Anolis sagrei: one gene and its partner. The protein of the gene in region 1 purifies or fractionates together with the protein of each later gene. This does not show direct contact. Links are inferred from orthologs where the notes say so. Each region holds a gene or a part of one and is shown on either strand. Other genes may lie near its edges.

Region 1 (11,419 bases):
ACTCTTTACAGGCTGTTCTGAAAGAAAGAAAGAAAGAAAGAAAGAAAGAAAGAAAGAAAGAAAGAAATGGAGGGAGGGAGGGAAGGAAGGAAGGAAGGAAGGAAGGAGGGAGGGAGGGAGGGAGGGAGGGAGGGAGGGAGGGAGGGAGGGAGGGAGGGAAGGAAGGAAGGAAGGAAGGAAGGAGGGAAGGAAGGAGGGAGGAGGGAAGGAAGGAATGAAGGAGGGGAGGAAGGAAGGAAGGATGGAAGGAGGGAGGGAGGGAAGGAAGAAAGGAGGGAAAGAGGGAAGGAGGGAGGGAGGGAAGGAAGGAAAGAGGGAGGGAAAGAAGGAAGGAGGGAGGGAAAGAAGGAGGGAGGGAAAGAAGGAGGGAGGGAAGGAAGGAAGGAGGGAGGGAAGGAAGGAGGGAAAGAAGGAAGGAAGGAGGGAAAGGGAAGGAAGGAGGGAAGGAAAGAAGGAGGGAAAGAGGGAAGGGCGGAGGGAAGGAAGGAAGGAAGGAAGGAAGGAAGGAAGGAAGGAAGGAAGGAAAGGAAAAGGAGGGAAGGAATGAAAGGAAAGCAAGCAAGAAAGGAAGGAGGAAAAAGGAGGGAGGGAAGAATAGATGGATGAAAGGAAGGACATATATCCTATATTAGCCCTCCAAATCACCCCAAAGAGCTATGGGGTTATTTTCCCCCATGTCTTGGGGTCCCATGGGCCATTGTAGACCCCAAAAAGGCCAAACATGAGCAACATCAGAAGTGCCTCTGACTTCCTTACTGTTCGGAGGAGGAAAGGCTCTGTCTAAAAGCATGGCGAGAATGCCCTCCAGCGTTTGGGTGCAAAACCAATTTTGTAAAATGGGATACAGCCCTCCCTCGTCTTCCCTGTGGGGCTGATGCAAGAAATGGCTCCCAATATATGCAAATGGAAATTGGATGGAGAGAGAGAGAGAGAGAGATTAACCTTTGTGGGATCTTTCATCCCAATGATGCATTCGATCACCCCGTAGCATGACTAGTGTTTGGTGGGGGACACGGAGAGGTTGCATGTGTCATTTGGGGTTTTGCAAGTACATAATATGTTGTTTGTGTATATATATATGTATGTGTGTGTTTTGGAAAAAATCCTATTCTTCCAGCCTTCCTCTTAAAAGAGCACTTAATCTATAGCTATAAGGGGGTGGGGCATCCCTATAGATCTGTTGGTCCCAAACGTAGCCCTCCTTTATGGGCCTTTTGCGTTTTCCTTTGCCTTACATAGCCCATCTGTAAATGCATATGGTAGGGGCCATTAAATGCTGCTTACGTACTGGATAGATAAGATAGATAGATAGATAGATAGATAGATAGATAGATAGATAGATAGATAGATAGATAGATAGAGATGGGTAGGATGGATGGATGGATAGGTAGGAGGGAAGGAAGGAAGGAAGGAAGGAAGGAAGGAAGGAAGGAAGGTAAATAGATAGAATGGACACCTGGATTGGATGGATGGAAGGAAGGAAAGATGGGTGGGTGGATGGATGGATAGATAGATAGATAGATAGATAGATAGATAGATGATAGATAGATAGATAGATAGATAGATAGATAGATAGATAGATAGATAGAGATGGGTAGGATGAATTGATAGGAAGGAAGGTAGGTAGGTAAATAGATAGAATGGACACCTGTATTGGGTGAATGGATGGAAGGAAAGATGGATGGATGGATGGATAGATAGATAGATAGATAGATAGCATAGATGGATGGATGGATAGATAGGATGGATAGATGGATGGATGGATAGGTGAATAGGATGGATATGACAGATGGATAGCTAGAGTGGGTAGGGTGGATAGCTGGCTGGATAGATGGATCAATGGATAGGATGGATGGATGGATGGATGGAAAGAGAGAGAGAGATAAATAGATAGGGATAGATAGATGGGTAGGATGGATGGATAGGTAGGAAGAAAGGTAGGTAGATAAATAGATAGGATGGACACCTGGATTGGATGAAAAGATGGATGGATGGATGGATGGATGGATGGATGGATGGATGGATGGAAAGATGGGTGGGTGGGTGGGTGTGTGGATGGATAGATAGATAGATAGATAGATAGAGTGAGTGAGTGAGTGGGTGAATGGCTGGATAGATGGATCGATGAATAGGATGGATAGATAGAGTGGATAGGGTGGATGGCTGGCTGTAGAGATGGATCAATGGATAGGATGGATGGATGGTTGGATAGATGGGTGGTTGGATAGATAAATAGAATGGATAGATGGATGGATAGGATGAGTAGATATGATAGGGTGGATGGATGGTTGGATAGATTGATCGATGGATATGATAGGTGGATGGATGGATGGATAGATAGATAGATAGATAGATAGATAGATAGATAGATCCAAGGCTGCATCCTCAGGCATAGAAACGGTACATTAAAAATTGATGCTGGAACCTAGGAATGTAATATCTCTCCCTCTCCATCTCTGTATATCATGTTTGCAAGTTTCCCCCTGTTTACCTTCTTGTTTTTGAGTGCCTGTGTATATATATATATCTCATTCAGGGGAAATATAGTTCCTCTGGTGCTGTATAGACATTCCATGGGGAAGTTTTCATGCTGCTGTTAGAGTTTTTTTTCATTTGGTACGTTGTTTATAAGCTTTAGTCCAAGAGCCTTAAGCAAAGGAGGCACAAGTGGTTTAAAGCAGCAATAATAATAATGATAATAATAATAATAATAATAATGCAACATTTTTGTATTTTTTTTCATGAGCTTTAGCTTAGGAGCCATAAGAAAAGGAAGCACAAGCTGTTTAACACTTATTATTATTACTATTATTATTATTATTATTACTATTATTATTATTAGTCATTTCATATGTTTTCATTCAGGAACCATAAGAGAAGGATGCTAATAATAATAATAATAATAATAATGACTATTATTAGACATTTCATAAGTTTTCGTTCAGGAGCCGTAAGAGAAGGACATCAGAAGACGCTTCCTTCTTGGGAGGAGAGCAATGTCCAGTCTCGATAAAATAGTGAAGAGTAGAGACATCAGACTGGCAACAAAGATCCGCCTAGTCAAAGCCATGGTATTCCCTGTAGTCACCTACGGATGTGAGAGCTGGACCTTAGGGAAGGCTGAGCGAAGGAAGATAGATGCTTTTGAACTGTGGTGTTGGAGGAAAGTTCTGAGAGTGCCTTGGACTGCGAGAAGATCCAACCAGTCCATCCTCCAGGAAATAAAGCCCGACTGCTCACTGGAGGGAAAGATACTAGAGACAAAGTTGAAGTACTTTGGTCACATCATGAGGAGACAGGAAAGCCTAGAGAAGACAATTATGCTGGGGAAAGTGGAAGGCAAAAGGAAGAGGGGCCGACCAAGGGCAAGATGGATGGATGGCATCCTTGAAGTGACTGGACTGACCTTGAGGGAGCTGGGGGTGGTGACGGCCGACAGGGAGCTCTGGCGTGGGCTGGTCCATGAGGTCACGAAGAGTCGGAGACGACTGAACGAATGAACAACAACAACAACAACAAGAGAAGGACACTAATAATAATAATAATAATAATAATACTCAGTTCTTGTGGGTTTTTTCGGGCTATATGGCCATGTTCTAGAGGCATTTCTCCTGACGTTTCGCCTGTATCTATGGCAAGCTTCCTCAGAGGTGAGGTTATAATAATAATAATAATAATAATAATAACGAAAGCTTATGAAATGACTAATTATTATTATTATTACTAACGTCCTTCTCTTATGGCTCCTGAAAGAAAGCTTATGAAATGACTAATAATAGTCATTATTATTATTATTATGACTATTATTAGTAATTTCATAAGCTTTCTTTCAGGAGCCGTAAGAGAAGGACACTAATAATAATAATAACAATGAAAGCTTATGAAATGACTAATAATAATAATAGTTATTATTATTATTATTATTAGTGTCCTTCGTTTACAGCTCCTGAAAGAAAGCTTATGAAATGATTAATAATAATAATAATAATAATAATAATTATTATTATTATCAATAATGTCCTTCTCTTATGGCTCCTGAAAGAAAGCTTGTGAAATGACTAAGAGTAATTATTATTATTATTACTATTATTAGTCATTTCATATGCTTTCTTTCAGGAGCCAACAATAATAATAATAATAATAATAATAATAATAATAATGCGTCCTTTTCTTGCGGCTCCTGAAATAAGGTTTATGAAATGACTAATAATAGTCATTATTATTATTATTATGACTATTATTAGTCATTTCATAAGCTTTGGTACAGGAGCCGTAAGACAAGGACGCTAATAATAATATTAATAATAATAATGACTATTATTAGTCATTTCATAAGCTTTCGTTCAGGAGCTGTAAGAGAAGGACGCTAATAATAATAATAGTAATAATAATAATAATAATAATTATTATTATTACTATTATTAGTCATTTCATAAGCTTTGGTTCAGGAGCCGTAAGATAAGGACACTTATTATTATTATTATTATTATTATTATTATTATTATTATGACTATTATTAGTCATTTCATAAGCTTTCGTTCAGGAGTTGTAAGAGAAGGATGCTAATAATAATAATAATAATAATAATGACTATTATTAGTCATCTCATAAGCTTTCTTTCAGGAGCTGTCAGAGAAGGAGTCTAATAATAATAATAATAATAATAATAATAATAATAATGATAAAGCAACAACAGTAAAAGCATAAGAATAAAATAAATATGGCATACATTTGCTTGTGGTTACGAAATTAGATAAATACTGCTCTCAGGTGCAATTGTAAATAGGCTGGAAATGGGATGGAAATAATAATGTTCTTGGCTTTCTATTTTAGTTGCATATCTTTGGCTTGTTCTCAGCTTTGACAAATACATTATTGCTGGATTTGGTTTTCAAAATGTTCTTTATGGGATAGATTGCTGTATATATATATATAGCTTGTTCCCAATGTTTACCTTTGCACAGCACTTAGGATGGGAACTGTGTGCTGATTTTTACACGTTTCTTGTGGCATGACGCACACGAGTAAAAACCCAGGTATCTTCTCCACAACCCATAATATAATTTTATATGGCAGGAGCTCCATTTCAGCCTCTATTAAAGATTTCAGTATTTTAAGAACTCCCAATGGTGCTCTCTTTGTTTCTTGTCTCTGAGTAGCCATTAAAAAAAATCATTTTTTGGGAACAAATGACTACCTGGCGCCCTGTGCAGCCCTTCTTCCATTGGGCTTACGTGAGTTTTCCGGGCTGTATGGACATGTTCCTGAAGCATTCTCTCCTGACGTTTCTCCCCCATCTATGGCAGGTTGAGGGGTCTGTGGGATAATGTCCAGGATGGGAGAAAGAACTCTTCTCTGTTGGAGGCAAGTGGGAATGCTGCAAGTGGCCAGCTTGATTAGCATCGAATGGCCTTGCAGCTTCAAAGCCTGGCTGCTTCCTGCAAGGGGGCATCCTTTGTTGGGAGGTGGGTGGGAGAAAGAACTCTTGTCTGTTAGAGGCAAGTAATGTTGCCAGCATCGAATGGTCTTGCAGTTTCAAAGCCTGACTGCTTCCTGCAAGGGGGAATCCTTAGTTGGGAGGTGGGTGGGAGAAAGAACTCTTTGTCTATTGGAGGCAAACGTGAATGTTGCCAGCATCGAATGGCCTTGCAGTTTCAAAGCCTGGCTGCTTCCTGCCTGAGGGAATCCTTAGTTGGGAGGTGGTTGGGAGAAAGAACTCTTGTCCATTGGAGACAAGTGTGAATGTTGTCAGCACTGAGTGGCCTTGCAGCTTCAAAGCCTGGCTGCTTCCTGCCTGGGAGACTCCTTAGTTGGGAGGTGGGTGAGAGAAAGAACTCTTGTCTATTAGAGGCAAGTGTGAAAGTTGCAAGTGGCGTCCTTGATTAGCATCGAATGGCCTTGCAGCTCCAAAGCCTGGCTGCTTCCTGCCGGGGGAATCCTTTCTTTGGAGGTGGGTGGGAGAAAGAACTCTTGTCTGAGGCAAGTGGCCACCGTGAGTAGCATCAAATGGCCTTGCACCTTCAAAGCCTGGCTGCTTCCTGCAAGGGGAAATCCTTTGTTGGGAGGTGGGTGGGAGAAAGAACTCTTGTCTGTCTGAGATAAGTGTGAATGTTGCAAGTGGCCACCTTGATTAGCATCGAATGGCCTTGCACCTTCAAAGCCTGGCTGCTTCCAGCCTGGGGGTATCCTTTGTTGGGAGGTGGGTGGGAGGAAGAACTCTTGTCTGTCTGAGATAAGTGTGAATGTTGCAAGTGGCCACCGTGATTAGCATCGAATGGCCTTGCACCTTCAAAGCCTGGCTGCTTCTTGCGAGGGGGGAATCCTTTGTTGGAAGGTGGAAGGAAGAAAGAACTCTGAGGATGCTTGCCATAGATGCAGGCGAAACGTCAGCAGAAATGCCTCTAGAACATGGCTCTATAGCCCGAAAAAACCCACAAGAACCTAAAGAACTCTTTGTCTGTTGGAGGCAAGCGTGAATGTTGCCAGCATCGAATGGCCTTGCAGCTTCAAAGCCTGGCTGCCGGGGGGAATCCTTTGTTGGGAGGTGTTAGCTGGCCCTGATTGTTTCCTGTCTGGAATCCCCCTGTTTTTTAAGTGTTGCTCTTTATTTACTGTCCTAATTTGAAGAAGTTTTTTTTCAAATACTGGTAGCCAGAAAGAAAGAAAAGGAAGGGAAAGATATATGTGGGAAGGCAAAGAAAGAAGGCTGCTGATTAGTTGAATAGCAACCCTAGTACTAACACTTCCGCCCTCTCTCAAAATGGCGGCGACGGTGTGCGTAGGTGTTTTTGCGCATGCGCACCTTTACTTTGCCTCCTCTTTCCTTTTAGTCGACGACGATCCTGCTTTCCTCGCCCTCCTTGTTCCTCAAAACACACAATAAACCGAGTGATTCATTTCATTCCTTTCCCCTTTTTGACAAAAAGAGTCGACGCGGGTTTTATTTTGCCAGGACACAAGATGGCCGACGGTGTTGACATTCCTCTGGCCCTCAGAAGAGCCACTTCCGGTCTAAAACGGAAGTTGCCCTGAAATGGACAGAAAAAGGGTGTATTGGGCCCAAGATGCTGCTTCGCCCTCACTTAGCGTCACTTCCGTCCTGGAACGGAAGTAGCCTTGCGTAGCGCTCTCCCGCCTCGGCGCCGGGGAGTGTGGCATCCAAGATGGCGGCGGGGCCCATCTCTGAGCGGAACCAAGGTAAAGGCAGGGAGGAGGAGGCCTGTTTGAGAAGGCCCAACAGCCCCAATGGCCTCCGAACGTCCCTCAAAGGAAGGAGAGAGGGGAATATTAGGGTCTGGAGAGTCTCTTCTCTGGTTTAGGCGCCAATAATGGCGGCTAGGCCAAACTGGGAAGGGGAAGCTCCAGCATTTCTGGCCTCCCTTTCCATTTCCAGCCAGGGTTTGTAGCTCTGTTGCACAAGGGCCCGCTCCAGCAGGAATTAAGCAACGAATTAACGAATCAGTGGGTTGTTGTAGGTTAGAAACAACATCATACGAAAGCTGACTGGCACAACCTGGGGATCACAACCAGACACAGTGAAGACATCTATCTGCCCTTGCGCTATGCTACTCTGCTGCTGAGTATGCATGCCCAGTGTGGAACACATCTCACCACGCTCAAACAGTGGATGTGGCTCTTAATGAGACATGCCGCATTATCACGGGATGTCTGCGCCCCACACCACTGGAGAAATTACACTGCTTAGCCTGTATTGCACCACCTGACATCCGCCGGGGAGTAGCAGCCAATAGTGAAAGGACCAAGGCAGAGACATCTCCAGCCCATCCTCTGTTTGGGTATCAGCCAGCACGTCAACGACTTAAATCAAGACATAGTTTTCTAAGATCTACAGAGACACTCGCTGGAACACCCCAGCAAGCGAGAGTCCAAAAGTGTCAGGCTCAAACCCAGCACCTCCATCCATGGGTGATACCAGATGAGAGACTCCCCCCGGGCACTCAGAAGACTGGGCGACTTGGAAGGCGCTGCACAGACTGTGCTCTGGCACCACGAGATGCTGAGCCAGTCTTAAGAAATGGGGCCCATTTTACCTGTCCGAACGGCCCAGTTTATCTGTCCGAACGTATTCTCCCCTATGAACCATCTAGGTTGTTAAGATTGTCTGGAGGGGCCCTGCTCTCAGTCCCACTGGCCTCTCAGGCATGTCTGGTGGGGATGAGGGACAGGGCCTTCTCGGTGGTGGTCCCTCGACTCTGGAACTCTCTCCCACTGGAGATCGGAACTGCCCCCTCCATTCTGTCGTTCAGAAAACAGGTGAAAACCTGGCTATGGGGTTTGGCTTTCGACGAGTGAATCAGTATTTCTGTGATTGGATAGATGACGATGAATGATGGACAACGAGTTCACTATGACGACTGACCATTGTTATTATGTGATTGCATTTTGCTGTTATAACGTTTTAATTGAATATGTTATATGATGTTTTTAATGATTGTTTTGTGATTTTATTGTTGGAAACTGGCCCGAGTCCCCCGATAGAGGGGAGAAGACCGGTATACAAAATTGCTAAATAAATAAATAGTCTGCTGGAGCTAGGTGGGAATGCAGTAATAATTTATTTGTTGTGTCAGGGCAACCAGTCAATTATATTACATTTTTAACAGAACAAAGCAAACAAACAGACAAAATACAACATTTGTGAGTTTGGTGGTTGATTAAATGTCTTTTGACCAGTATCTGGCCACTTGGAGTGCTTCTGGTGTTGCCGCAAGAAGGTCCTCCATTGTGCATGTGGCTGGGCTCAGGTTGCATTGCAGCAGGTGGTCAGTGGTTTGCTCTTCTCCACACTCGCATGTCGTGGATTCCACTTTGTAACCCCATTTCTTATGGTTGGCTCTGCATCTCGAAGTGCGGTCTGTTTGGTGCCTTCCAAGTCGCCCAGTTTTCTGTGTGCCCAGGGGGGGGGGGGGGGCTCTCTCATTTGGTATCAGCCATGGATTGAGGTTCTGGGTTTGAGCCAGCCAAAGTGTGGAACACATTTCACCACACTAAAACAGTGGATGTGGCACTTAATGAGACATGCCAAATTATTACGGGGTGTCTGAGCCCTACACCACTGGAGAAATTACACTGTCTAGCCGGTATTGCACCACCTGACATCCGCCAGGAAGTAGCAGCCAAGTGAAAGGACCAAGGCAGAGACATCTCCAGCACATCCCCTGTTTAGATATCAGCCAGCACGTCAACGACTTAAATCAAGACATAGTTTTCTGGGATCTACAGAGACACTCACTGGAACACCCCAGCAAGCGAGAGTTCAAAAGTGGCAGGCTCAAACCCAGAACCTCAATCAATGGCTGAGGGAAAGTAACGGCGCCCCATGCAATCATGCCGGCCACATGGCCCAGGAGGTGTTTACGGACAATGCAGGCTCTTTGGCTTAAAAATGGGAGATGAGCACCACCCCCAGAGCCAGAGTTGAAGGGGAATCCTTTATCTTTATCCGTGTGTCTGTATTTCATTGTTTCAAGGCATTGAATGTTTCCCTGTGTCAGTACATGCTGGAATCCGTCCTGAGTCCCTCGGGGAGATGGAGCGGAATACAAATAAAGAGTTGTTATATTATTATTATTAGCCAAGAATTCTGGGAGTTGGAGGCCCAAACAGCTGGAGGACTGTGGTTTAGGGATGCCTGATCTAGAACTAGACTTTTAATTGATGCAGCCTAGGATCACATCAAAGTCAGCTTTAGGTTCAAATGTAACATCAGCAAACAAGATTCATGAAGGCATTTGAGACTATAACTATTGTCCCTCTCTTATCTGCTGCAGATGCCACTGTGTATGTTGGCGGCCTGGATGAAAAAGTCAGCGAACCCCTCCTGTGGGAACTCTTCCTCCAAGCAGGACCAGTGGTTAACACTCACATGCCCAAAGACAGAGTCACGGGCCAACATCAAGGTAAGCAATTCCAGCACCTTTTCTCAATGTGCTGTGTTATGAATGGAGTAAATCCACCAGCTCTTAGACGTTAAGCAGGGGCAGGCCTGGTGAGTACTTGGATTGAAGGCTACCAAGAAATCTCAAGTTCTGTAGCTGTATTTCAAAGGTAAAATCACCTCTGTGTATTCCTTGCCCAGGAAAACCCTCTGAAATTCATGGGGTCGTCACAAGTCGTCAAGGCACATACACAAACAAGATCCTTTTACTTCAAATCTTGAAGACTAGACTTCCAGAGCATGGGAAAATAAGGCTCCTTTTAGGACTGACACTGCCAGGATCCCCTAGTCAGCTATGCTATGACAGTTGGGGGATTTTGGGACTGGTAATCCATAAAGAGGAGCCCCCGGTGGCGCAGTGGGTTAAAGCACTGAGCTGCTGAGCTTGTTGATCGAAAGGTCGCAGGTTCGATCCCAGGGAGCGGCGTGAGCTTCCGCTGTCAGCTCTAGCTTCTGCCAACCTAGCAGTTCGAAAACATGCAAATGTGAGTAGATCAATAGGTACCACTCTGGCGGGAAGGTAACGGCGCTCCATGCAGTCATGCCGGCCACATGACCTTGGAGGTGTCTACAGACAACGCTGGCTCTTCGGCTTAGAAATGGAGATGAGCACCACACCCCAGAGTCAGACATGACTGGACTTAATGTCAGGGGACTACCTTTACCTAATCCATAAAGAGGATCTTTCCCAAACACAGAATGACTTATTATTATTACTAATATTAGTGTAAATGCACCCAAGTGTCTTTTAATTCTACAGTAGTGAATAGAGGGATAACCTTAAGCAGTGACAAAATATAATATTTCTTTAAAAAGAAGGTTTTTACAACCAAGTTAGGATTTGCTGTGGTTTTAACTATAAATAAGTTTTTAAATCGGTTTTAAGGGTTTTAGCTCATTATTTTTAATATTGTTAATATTTAATTATATTTTACTGCTTGTATATTTTTAGGTTTTAAATTTTATTGTTGGTTTTACTATAAACTACTTTGAAGTCTTTCTTTTTAGAGAAAAAAGCAGGTTTAAATAAAAATACTAAAAAATAATAAGATAAGATGTGATCAGCGCAACGCTTGGCTTTGCCTCCCTTTCCAGGCTATGGCTTTGTGGAGTTCCTCAGCGAGGAGGACGCGGACTACGCCATCAAGATCATGAACATGATCAAGCTCTATGGGAAGCCCATCCGGGTCAACAAGGCCTCGGCCCACAACAAGAACCTGGACGTGGGGGCCAACATCTTCATTGGCAACCTGGACCCCGAGATCGACGAGAAGCTCCTGTACGACACCTTCAGCGCCTTTGGGGTCATCCTGCAGACCCCCAAGATCATGCGGGACCCCGACACGGGCAATTCCAAGGGTTACGCCTTCATCAACTTCGCCAGCTTTGACGCCTCCGATGCCGCCATTGAGGCCATGAACGGGCAGTACCTTTGCAACCGCCCCATCACCGTCTCTTATG
Region 2 (11,484 bases), on another chromosome or scaffold:
GAAGAGGCCCTTTGAGAACATCTGGTTCCACTTTCAAGGTAATATCTAAAAATCTGCTTGGAAACACCTCTCTAAAAAGACTACCTATGTGCAACACCATTCCCAATGAAGGCTGCTGCTATACACAAAATGAGCTGCACACAATATATGTCAAAATATAATTTCCAACCTGCATCTAACTGAACTGCAAACAAAGTTAGACTATGCTCATGGCACATGGGTTTGTTAACGCTGCTTCAAAGAGGCAATATAGATTATTTTTAAATGTGGCGATACTTTCCAATTCCATTATTACTAATCTGTATCTCTTCTCCAAAGTGGGAGTTCTTTTCAGTTTGCTCCTGCATTCATTTCAAGCCACTGAATCTTACCTATACATTTGTTTAAAGTTTAGGAAAGCATATCACCAAGAACAAAGATGGGGAACCTCTGGATTGCTAATCGTTTTGGACTTACATTCCCAGAAGAGATAAAACAGAGACCATATTAATCAAACAAAAGTGAACCCGTCAAATTTGGACAGCAGTCTAGAGCTTCAATAATGAATAAAAGTAATATAAAAGGACTCCTTGATTGTCAAGCAAAACATGGGTACTAGAAATAATATCATATGAAACCTGAGTGGCACAACCTGGGGATCACAACCAGACATAGTGAAGACATCTTCTCTTGAGCTTTGCTATTCTGCTGTTGTGCCCAGTGTGCAACACATTTCACCACATTAAAACAGTGGATGTGGCTCTTAATGAGTCATGCTGTATTATCACAGGATGTCTATGCTCAACACCACTGGAGAAATTATATTGTTTAGCTGGTATTGCACAACCTGACATCCGTCGGGAAGTAAAAACCAATAATGAAAGGACCAAGGGAGTGATATCTCTGCTCTGTTCGGATATCAGCCAGCACACCAACATCTTAAATCAAGAAACAGCTTCCTAAGATCTACAGAGATACTCGCAGGAACACCTCAGCAAGCGAGAGTCCAAAAGTGGCAGGTTAAAACCCAGAACCTTAATCAATGACTGAGACTGGATAAGACAGTCTCTCCTGGCCACACAGAAGACTGGATAGCTTGAAAGTCACTGAACAGACTGCGCTCTGGCACCACGAGATGCAAAGCCAACCTTAAGAAATGGGGCTACAAGGTATGGAGTGTGGAGAAGAGCAAACCACAGACCATTTACTACAATGCAGCCTGGGCCCCGCCCCATGCACAATGGAGGACCTTCTCACAGCAACACCACAGGCACTCCATTGGCTTAAAGGACATTTAATCCAATGCCATGATTTTAACTTTGTTTGTGATTTTTAATACATTATAATTATATTCTCAATTTGCTTCTGGCATAAATAAAAATCTAAGAGGAGGGCAAATTGATCCATAGGAGTGATGCAGCTACTAGTGATGTAGCTACTATGAACGCCCTTTCTATCATCTCTCTCAATGGAGTCTCCTTGCCAAGTGGGAGGCAGAGAAGAGTGTTTCCTCCTGATGGGAGGAAAGTGAGAGGTGATTCTGCTACAAAGTGATCCATCAAAGAACCACCTGTAATCTTAAAAGCCCCCTTTTCCTTATAAAGCCTGGCTTACCTCTAAAAACTACATCCTTACCTTCAGGCCAGGTGCCACGTGTGGAGGGGTGTCTACGATCTGTCGCTCATCAGAAGTACTGCCTCGTTTCAGGTCAATGACAGGAGCAAGAACTGTGGTTTGCTTTGTCCTTTGGCTCTAAACACCCACAAAAACATTAAAGATATTATACACAGACAACTAATCGTATCTTTGAGATTTTATTTTATAGACTTTTCATTGATCTGTGGGGTTATTCCCCTCAGGCCACTAAGCTTGGCTTGAAAAAAAATGCTTATCATTCAAAAAATGGTTTTGCAATTATTCCCTTAATTACAAAGTTTGAGTGAATACAGTATGAACTCAACATCTATGCCAGTGGCAACATAATATTTATTTAAGAAAGAGTAGGCCAGGGGAAAAAAGAAAAAGAAAAATAAGTATGTTTAATAGAAATCTAAGGCTCAGAAGTTATAACACGGACATGTTGTTGTGTGTGTTCTCAAAAGCTTTCATGGCCAGAATCACTGAGTTGCTATGGGTTTTTCAGGATGTATGCTAATCAAGCTGGCTAATTGCAATAGTCACACTTGCTTCAAACAGACACGGATTCTTTCTCCCACTCTGAACATTATTTGACAAATATAAATACAATCCACTTGCCTCATTCCCACAGACCTCTGAACAAACCTCTGAGGATGCCTGCCATAGATGCAGGCAAAACGTCAGGAGAGAATGCTTCTGGAACACGACCATAGAGCCCAGAAAACACAAAACAAGCCAGTGATTCCAGCCATGAAAGCCTTCGACAAGACATTAAACATTCCATTTCACTGATGAAAACTGAATTTGAGCTAATAATTCTCCAAGCCTGGTCAGTTGTAAGGCAGATTGGGGTATGGGGTGGCAACCTGTGCTGGATGGGGTCACACTCCCCCTGAAAACACAGGTCTTAAGTCTGGGGGCTCTCCTGGACTCATTGCTAAGCCTGGAGGCCCAGGTATTGGCTGTGGCCAGGAGGGTCTTTGCACAATTAAAACTTGTGCGACAGCTGCAAATGTATCCTGAGAAACTGGACTTGGCTATGGTGGTCCGCATCTTAGTTACATCCCATTTAGACTATGTGGGGCTGCCCTTGAAAAGTTCCCAGAAACTCCAACTAGTTCAGAGACCTGCAGTCAGGTTGACAGGTGCTGGACCCAGGGAGCATACCACCACCATTACAGCACCTACACTGGCTGCCAATAAGTTTCCGAGCCCGATTCAAGGTGCTGGTTTTGACCTTTAAAGCCCTAAATGTTTGAGGCCCAACTTACCCCACCACCAGCTCAATAGACATCTTGAGCAATGATCAATCTATTTGCCCCCATGGAACTGGGAAATTGATGCTTCTGTTTGATGTTTTGTCTAATGTCCGATCTAATAGGTTGTGTTTTTATTTAATTTTAATTATTAAGGCATAATTTGTTTTTATATGTTGAGTTGCCAAATTTTGTTATCATGGGTGTGTTGTTGTTGTGTTCGGGCACTGAATGTTTACCTTTTATGTTTCGAATCTGCCCTGAGTCCATCTGGGAAGCATTATGTCCTCAAAATGCACTTTACTACTGCTTTAGGATTGATTGCGTTCCCGCATTCTCTCTGAAAATCCTATCCCAATTATATCCTACCTTGTTCACATCAGCATTATTTTTTAATTTTAATCTATCACATTTGGCCCGGCCTTTGGTTTTAAATGCTTATATGTTACTGTTGATTGCTTATTGTCTATTTTGTTTATGTGTATTGATTGTTTATTGATGTTTTATTTTTTGATGTATTGCGGGCTTGGTCTCATGTAAGCCGCACCGAGTCCCTTGGGGAGATGGGAGCGGGGTACAAATAAAGTGTTATTATTATTATTAAGACAGGGTGAAATATAAATAGTTTTTATATTTTATTATTATTACCTATCTGACCGCATCACCTCTTACCAACCTGCCTGACCATTAAGACAGTGGTTCTCAACCTGTGGGTACCCAGATGTTTTTGGCCCACAACTCCCAGAAATCCCAGCCAGTTTACCAGCTGTTAGGATTTCTGGGAGTTGAAGGTCAAAAACATCTGGGGACCCCAGGTTGAGAACCACAGCATTAAGATCTTCCAGAGAGATCCTTCTCTCATTACCGCCCTCACAAATATGGTTGGTGGCAACGAGAGAGAGCCTTCTTAGTAGCCGCCCTGGCTCTTTGGAACTCCCTCCCCCTTGAGATTAAAACTACCTCCTCCCTGTCATCTTTCAAGAACCATTTGAAGACCTACCTGTTCAAGCAGGTTTTTGATGAATGAATTCAATTGTTAATGATAGCAAGGTTAATTTGCACTGAGCTGAGCAAAATATACCTTTTAATTGATGAGTCTCCGCAATAATTGTAATCTGTAACCCGCCTTGAGTCGCCGTATGGTTGAGAAAGGCAGGCTACAAATGTCGTAAATAAATAAATAAATGGTATAAAATGTTTTTAATGCTTAGTATTTATTTCTGTCTTATTTCTGGACATTATTATGCTTTGTGTGGTTTTTGTCTTGTATTTTATGTTAAATGTGATTTGATTTGTATTATGTTGTGAGCTGCTTTGGGTCCCGTTAGAGATAAAAGTGGGATATAAATAAAGATTATTATTACTGCTTGGGAAGAAACCCCCACTGGAGCACTGCAGCACACCAAAATACCTGGGAGTTATCCTGGACTATGTTCTGACCTAGAAAGAGCACTGCTTGAATATCAACGTAGAAGGAGATACGTTCGGACATGTACGCTGGGCCGGAGCCGTAAAGCGTTTTGTAGGTCAAAACCAGTTTTAAATAAATAAATAGATGCAGGCGAAATGTCAGGAGAAAATGCTTCTAGAACATGGCCATATAGCCCGAGAAACCTACAACACCCCAATTTTGTTGATACTGACTGAACAAAATATTAATAATAATAACTGCTACATTAACATTGTGCTTAGTTAAAGGCAGCTACCTCAGCAATCAGTGACAGGTGTCGCTTCTACCAGACTTTTTATCCTTACCTTTGCTTGGGTGAGTGCCGCCTTCTTCACTTGCAGCTGAGACTGCAGGAGTTTGAAGTTTTTGGACCAGCCTTCTGTCTTGGAATCGCTGGTCTCCACTCCCAAGTCATCGTAGAGCGACATTTTGGTTCTGCTTCAGAGCTAGGAAGGGAAAAGGCAAGGGAGAATAATCACAGCATCACTTAAAATAGGCCTGGGCCAACTTGGGCCCTCCAGGTGTTTTGGACTTCAACTCCCACAATTCCTAACAGCCGGCAGGCTGTTAGGAATTGTGGGAGTTGAAGTCCAAAACACCTGGAGGGCCCAAGTTGGCCCAGGCCTTGAGGCTTTATGGCTGTAATAAGGCCCTAGCTTCCTCCCTGGCAAGTACCCCTTATCCAGAACTCCAAAATACTCCAAAATAATATTATCCCATGTATACAATGAAATCTAATGGCCTCCAGTTTTTTCTTACCCTTCCGCACACAAGGCCTCAAAGCCGGGGCCTCGAGTAAGGCCCGAAGCCGAAGGAAACGCCTCCTCTGTGGGGGTAGGAGAAGCTCCCGCGTCACGGAGGGAAAGAACCAATCAGCGTCCTTCCCCGAGAGCGCCTTGGCGTGCCTCTGAGCGTCTCAACGGCGGGACGCAGCGGCTGCGTAAACTTCGTAGCGCAGGAGGCGGAGCTGGGCTACAGGCTTCACACGCTGAAGGTAAGACCTACGCCAGTTCCGTAAACTGGCAAAAAGGCTAAGTTAGTGTTTACTCTAACTACGCAGCAAAGGGAATAGGGGAAGATTCTCCACTGACACCTAAAGGCGCATAGCTGCAACTGCAACTCAGGAAATACTTTGATATTGTACTCCATTTATATGTAGTCCTAATATAGTATTCTTTATTACTATGTATATTGTTTATATTAGATCTGATATAGTAGCTTCCATTACTATGTATATTTATATTAGATCTAATATAGTAGTTCCCATTACTATGTTTCTTGTTTATATTAGAATATAGTAGTTGCCATTACTATGTATATATTACATCTAATATAGTATTTCCTATTACTATGTAATTATTTATATTAGATCTAATGTAGTGATTCCCAATATTGTGCATATTATTTATTTTAGATCTAATATAGTAGTTCCCATTACTATGTATGTTTATATTACATCTAATATACTACTTCCTATTACTATATTATTTATATTAGATCTAATATAGTGATTCCTACTATTATGCATATTATTTATTTTAGATCTAATATAGTAGTTCCTATTACTAAGCATGTTGTTTATATTATGAGATCTAATATAGTGGTTCCAATTACTATGTATATTATTTCTATTAGATCTAATATAATAGTTCCCATTACTATGTATCTTGTTTATATTAGAACTAATATAATAGTTCCCATTACTATGTATGTTTATATTACATCTAATATAGTACTTCCTATTACTATGTATATTATTTATATTAGATCTACTGTAGTGATTCCCACTATTATGCATATTATTTACTATAGATCTAATATAGTAGTTCCCATTATTATGTATCTTGTTTATATTAGATTTAATATAGTAGTTCCTATTACTAAGCATGTTGTTTATAAGATCTAGTATAGTGGTTCCAATTACTATGTATATTTTTCTATTAGATCTAATGTAGTGATTTCCTCTATTATGTATATAATCAATTTATTTTAGATCTAGTGTAGTGGCTCCAACTATTATGCATATTATTTATATTAGGTGTAATATAGTGGTTCCAAATGGTACATATATTGGTTATATTAGCCCTAATACTGTATATATCTGGTTCACTGCCATGATTTGATGATGGATAACATCTTGAAAGTTATAAGTATCTGAGCTTCTTGCTGTTTCAAGCTTTCAATACTACAGTTAGCCATCTAGTTGCTAGGGTTAGGGGATCAAAACCCTAAAAGTGAAAAAAAGCTATAAATAAATAGAAAAGTGTTATTTTTTATTTGAGAGAACATCTAGGGATTTTGGAGCTCTGCAGTTAGCTTTCACTTGCACTGAAAGACAGAGATTTCTAGACCTTATTAACAAAATCTGCAAGTGTGAAGGACTACCTGTGTAGATATAGATCTATTTCTGAGCATGGCTCTTTAAAAGTCTCATAAGATTATCCTAAATTGAAGCTGGCTTGATGTCAAACTTGATACTATAGATATGTATAAAATCTAATTTAGATTGTTTCTGAATTGTGTGACAAACTGTTAATAATGGTTCAAATGGACTAAGTATTTTAAAAAATTAATCTATGCTGCTGACAAAAAAATAGATCTACACATTAATAAGTTAATATTAGAGCACTAGGTTCATCGTCCTCATTTAGGATTATTTTAAATATTATTCATAATTTTCATTTTAATATCCTTCGTTGTCATAATTTTCTGTGTGTACTACAAATGTTAATGTGGGTCATTTTAATACATGATTTTATAATTTCAAGGTTTCCTATTTGTCTTTCTGTACCATGTTGTAGATTGTAAGTGGAGTTACAAATATATAAAATAATGCAAATTTGTCACTACATTGTTCTCTTTGTTCATTTAAAGAAGGTAGATTTCCAATGGGGCACTATTTTTTTTCTGAAAAGGGAGTAACAAGCCAGATAAGTTTGAAAATCTCTGATTTAAGGTATTGTCAAAGGCTGATTTAAGCTCTGATATATTTAGTCGCATGGGCGGGGGGAGGTTGTTTAAGGGCAATTAATGCATCTGTAGAACCAATGCAGTGTGAGATAAAGACCAAGGGGAAAGGAACAGACCCAGACTTATTCATAGTTAGTCATATCTACTGAAAGCTTTGAGGAATGTTAGTTGCAACCAAACTAAATCCTACTGGTCCCAGTTGTTATATTTTAAGAAGGACTTTGTTGTTGTTTATTCATTCAGTCGCCTCCGACTCTTCGTGACCTCATGGACCAGCCCACACCAAAGCTCCCCCTTGGTCAGTTCCTTCAAGGTCAAGCCAGTCACTTCAAGGATATCATTACAGTTACAGGGAGTGGTCAACCCCCGTTTAAACAGCTCCATTTGCTGCCAATAAGTTTCCGGTCCCATTATAAAGTTCTAAATGGTTCAGGGCCTGCCTATCTTCATGATCGCATCTTCCCCTATGAACCAGCACATACCCCAAGATCATTTGGGGAGGCTCTTCTCTCGCTTCCACCTCTGTAGCAAACACGGTTGGTGGGGACGAGGGAAAGGGTCTTCTCTGTGGTGCCCCCTGGGCTCCTGAAGGAGATCAGATAGCGGCCAGTCCAGCGGAGTTGTTGGTGGAGGACCATCGCTTCCGTGCTGGTGGTCTTTGCTACTTTCAGCATGCTGACATTTGTCCTCCTGTCTTCCCAAGAGATTTGCTGGATTTTTTGGAGGCAGTACTGATGGAATTGTTCTAGTTGCATGTGACGTCTGTAGACAGTCCACGTCTCACAGGTGTATAGCAGGGTTGGGAGGACAATAGCTTTATAAACAAGCACCTTGGTATCCCTACAGATGTCCCAGTCCTCAAACATTCTCTGCTTGATTTGGAAAAATGCTGCACTCGCAGAGCTCAGGCGGTGTTGTATATCAGTGTCAATGTTGACTTTTGTGGAGAGGTGGCTGCCAAGGTAGCGGAAATTGTCAACATTTTCTAATAATAATAGCTTTTAGGAATCCTGAGCCTGAACTCACTATTGTTGTCAGCCACAATATTGGTTTATGATGTTTATCTGATTATATTATTTCATTGTTTTTAGACATTGACTGTATTTTTGTGTTCGTTTTTAATCTGTATTTGCTGGCCATGTCGCTTGTAAGCCACCCCGAGTCCCTTCGGGGAGATGGAGGCGGGGTATAAAAATAAAATTATTATCCATCCATCTTGCCTCTGGTCGGCCCCTCTTCATTTTTCCTTCCATTTTCCCCAGCATCATGATCTCTTCCAAAAATATTCCATCTACTCATGATGTCGCCAAAGTACTTCTAGGAGTTGCATGTGACGTCTGTAGATAGTCCACGTCTTGCAGGTGTATAGCAGGGTTGGGAGGACAATAGCTTTATAAACAAGCACCTATGGATGCCCCGGTCCTCAAACACTCTCTGCTTGATTTGGAAAAATGCTGCACTCGCAGAGCTCAAAGTACTTCATCTTTGCCTCTAATATCCTTCCCTCCAGTGAGCAGTCAGGCATTATTTCCTGGAGTATGGACTGGTTTGATCTTCTTGTGGTCCAAGGCACTGTCGGAATTTTCCTCCAACACCACAGTTCAAAAGTGTCTATCTTCCTTCGCTCAGCTTTCCTTATGGTCCAAGCTCTTACATCCATAGGTTGCTACGGGGAATACCATTGCTTTAAGAAGCAATAAAGAGGACTAAATAATTCAGAAGGACCAAATCTCCTCAAACCCACGAAGTCCTAGTTTGCTGAACAAGGATTTAACTGTGCTTTGAAAGTTATTCATTTGGAACAGACCTATCTAGAGGGAGATTTCAGTTCGTAAGGAATTTTCTTTCATCTTAATCAAGAAAAGCATGCTTCATCTCTTCAAAAGGGGGAACAATTCTTTGGAAAAGATTTTGGTCTCCTTGCTGATAAACTTCATTTGAAAAATTCTCCAGATCAAAGTTTTAATGTTGACACAAAGTAAGTGGGACTCAGCAATGTCTGAATCATAGAATCATAGAATCAAAGAGTTGGAAGAGACCTCATGGGCCATCCAGTCCAACCCCCTGCCAAGAAGCAGGAATATTGCATTCAAATCACCCCTGACAGATGGCCATCCAGCCTTTGTCTGAGAACAAAGACACAGCACACAAAAGATAACCAGTTGAGATAAGAAAAACTGGCAGATGTTCCTGCTTCACAATCTTTATTCCAATGTTAAAAACACATTTCTCTCCAATAAAATTTGATTCTGTTGTACCTCCATGGATGGCCCAGCTCTGGCACCCTTCAATAACCTGTTTTAGCAAATATGCTGTAAATGAAATTTAGAATTCATTCCTAAAATCTGTTGGATAGCATTGAGTGTGAACAGTTAGTTATTTTACTTAACAAGGTTTGGTTATTGAACAGTTCTCAACAGTTTAGTAAAGTTTTCTAACAAGTGTAAAAACTGAAAAAAGCAAGATTTTAAGTGAAGTGCATCCAAGTGGTAAATGTCAACGTATTTGCAGAAGACCAATGATAATATGAGGAGTACCGAGGTGTACAAAAAAGAAATATTATAAAGATATTTCAGGCTATATATTTACAGGAAATTGCACAGTAGCTCGTATTGTTAGACAAATCAGTACTCTGTAGTATTTGAAGTCGTTAGTGTTACAGGATCATCACTCCAAGAGTCCTTGAATTGTGATTTACAAAATTCACCTGTACACAAGGAAGGTGTTAGAAAATCGAATACTGTGGAGGGGAAAAAAAAATCCAGACTATGCAAGTTCCCTGAAAACAATCAAGGCTTCCATTGTTCGTTACAGCAAACCGAAACAAAATAAGCACATGCCTTAGAGACGCACCCGGAAGACAGTTTTAACACTTATGCTTCCAAAAAACTAATAAAAGAGCCACATAGCATTGTCACCCAATTCGGGGCCTTCGCCTACCAAGTAGCAACAGTCCTGGGCGACCGACACCAAATCAACAACATTTAGAAGCATTCATCAAAGCCAGGAGAAGTGATTCACAATGGGACCTCTGTTAAGCCCATACCCGACAAGATTTATCTTGAAGGTCCAAAAGGATGCTTTAAAAGCCATGGTGCAAGACTGCCATTCGAAATTCCAGGGTTAAAATGTTTGACGATCTATTCAATGAAGTGACTGTTTAAAAAAAGTATCTCACCTCCTCCAATTACTTTAGAACAGGTATGGACAAATTTTGGCTTGGCATGTGTTTTGGACTTCAACTCCCACAATTCATGGCCTCAGGCCCCTTCCTTTTCCCCCTCAGCCGCTTAAGCGGCTGAGGGGGAAAAGGAAGGGGCCTGAGGCCAGGAATTGTGGGAGTTGAAGTCCAAAACACATGCCAAGCCAAAGTTTTCCCATGCCAGCTTTAGAAGCACCTCTTCCAAAAAACATAGAGTTGTGCTGGGATGGGTCATAACCCAGAAATGGTGTAGTTCATTAACCTAAAAAAGGGTTTAACCTAGCCATGCTAGAATTTGTTAATCAAAGATGAATCCTCACACATTGAGCATCGTGTCTCTCAAATAGTGCAGCAGAATCTGAATTAAAGACTACAATCGGGCAGAGTGCAGCCAACGTGTTTGTGTAATAGGCTTCAGGAAAAAAAATCATGATAAGATTAGGATATCTGAACACATTTGCTCCTGCGACACATCACCTTATGCTACATACAAAAAGAACGAAGATGTTGCAAATTAGTCATGCTTACCATTAACACTTCTGAACTGGAAAAGCTGCAGAATGCCATTTCCTTAATAAAGAAAATGACGACTGCCTCGATACACAAGTCATGCTTACCATTAACACTTCTGAACTGGAAAAGCTGCAGAATGCCATTTCCTTAATAAAGAAAATGACGACTGCCTCGATACACAAGTTATGTGCAAACTGCAAGGTCCCTAGAATAGCAGGTATGAGTTTATGTACAGAGGACATCACTATCCATTTAAATACACAAAAGGACGAGTCTTCCAGAGTTTATAACACCGAACAATAGCCGCCACAAGCGCCTCTATGGCCCTCTTCGTCGTTTGATAACTTTACGCCTCTGTTTTGGCTCTCGCTTTCCCACAGTCCAGGCGTCTGGATGATTTTTTCAACCAGTTCTTCAAAGGCACACTGTACACCGTCACACGTTTTTGCACTTGCCTCTGGGTGGGTTTGGGGAAG

Evidence for each region.
Region 2: the proteins of SF3B4 (region 1) and RBM17 purify together in Homo sapiens (affinity purification with mass spectrometry; 4 studies listed by BioGRID and IntAct, with this or other methods). This does not show direct contact. The link is inferred for Anolis sagrei from reciprocal best matches to the Homo sapiens genes SF3B4 and RBM17.

The regions. Positions count from the first base shown.
Region 1 is NC_090032.1:5,534,275-5,545,693, reverse strand, and holds the start of SF3B4 (splicing factor 3B subunit 4), read left to right. Parts: upstream 1-7,095; 5' UTR 7,096-7,163; coding exon 7,164-7,197; intron 7,198-9,791; coding exon 9,792-9,920; intron 9,921-11,053; coding exon 11,054-11,419. UniProt on the Homo sapiens protein: Component of the 17S U2 SnRNP complex of the spliceosome, a large ribonucleoprotein complex that removes introns from transcribed pre-mRNAs.
Region 2 is NC_090025.1:190,045,155-190,056,638, forward strand, and holds the start of RBM17 (splicing factor 45), read right to left. Parts: upstream 5,248-11,484; 5' UTR 5,083-5,247; intron 4,770-5,082; 5' UTR 4,752-4,769; coding exon 4,629-4,751; intron 1,732-4,628; coding exon 1,615-1,731; intron 1-1,614. Other genes in the region: RAB18 (ras-related protein Rab-18), read right to left, coding at 11,293-11,465. UniProt on the Homo sapiens protein: Splice factor that binds to the single-stranded 3'AG at the exon/intron border and promotes its utilization in the second catalytic step. Involved in the regulation of alternative splicing and the utilization of cryptic splice sites.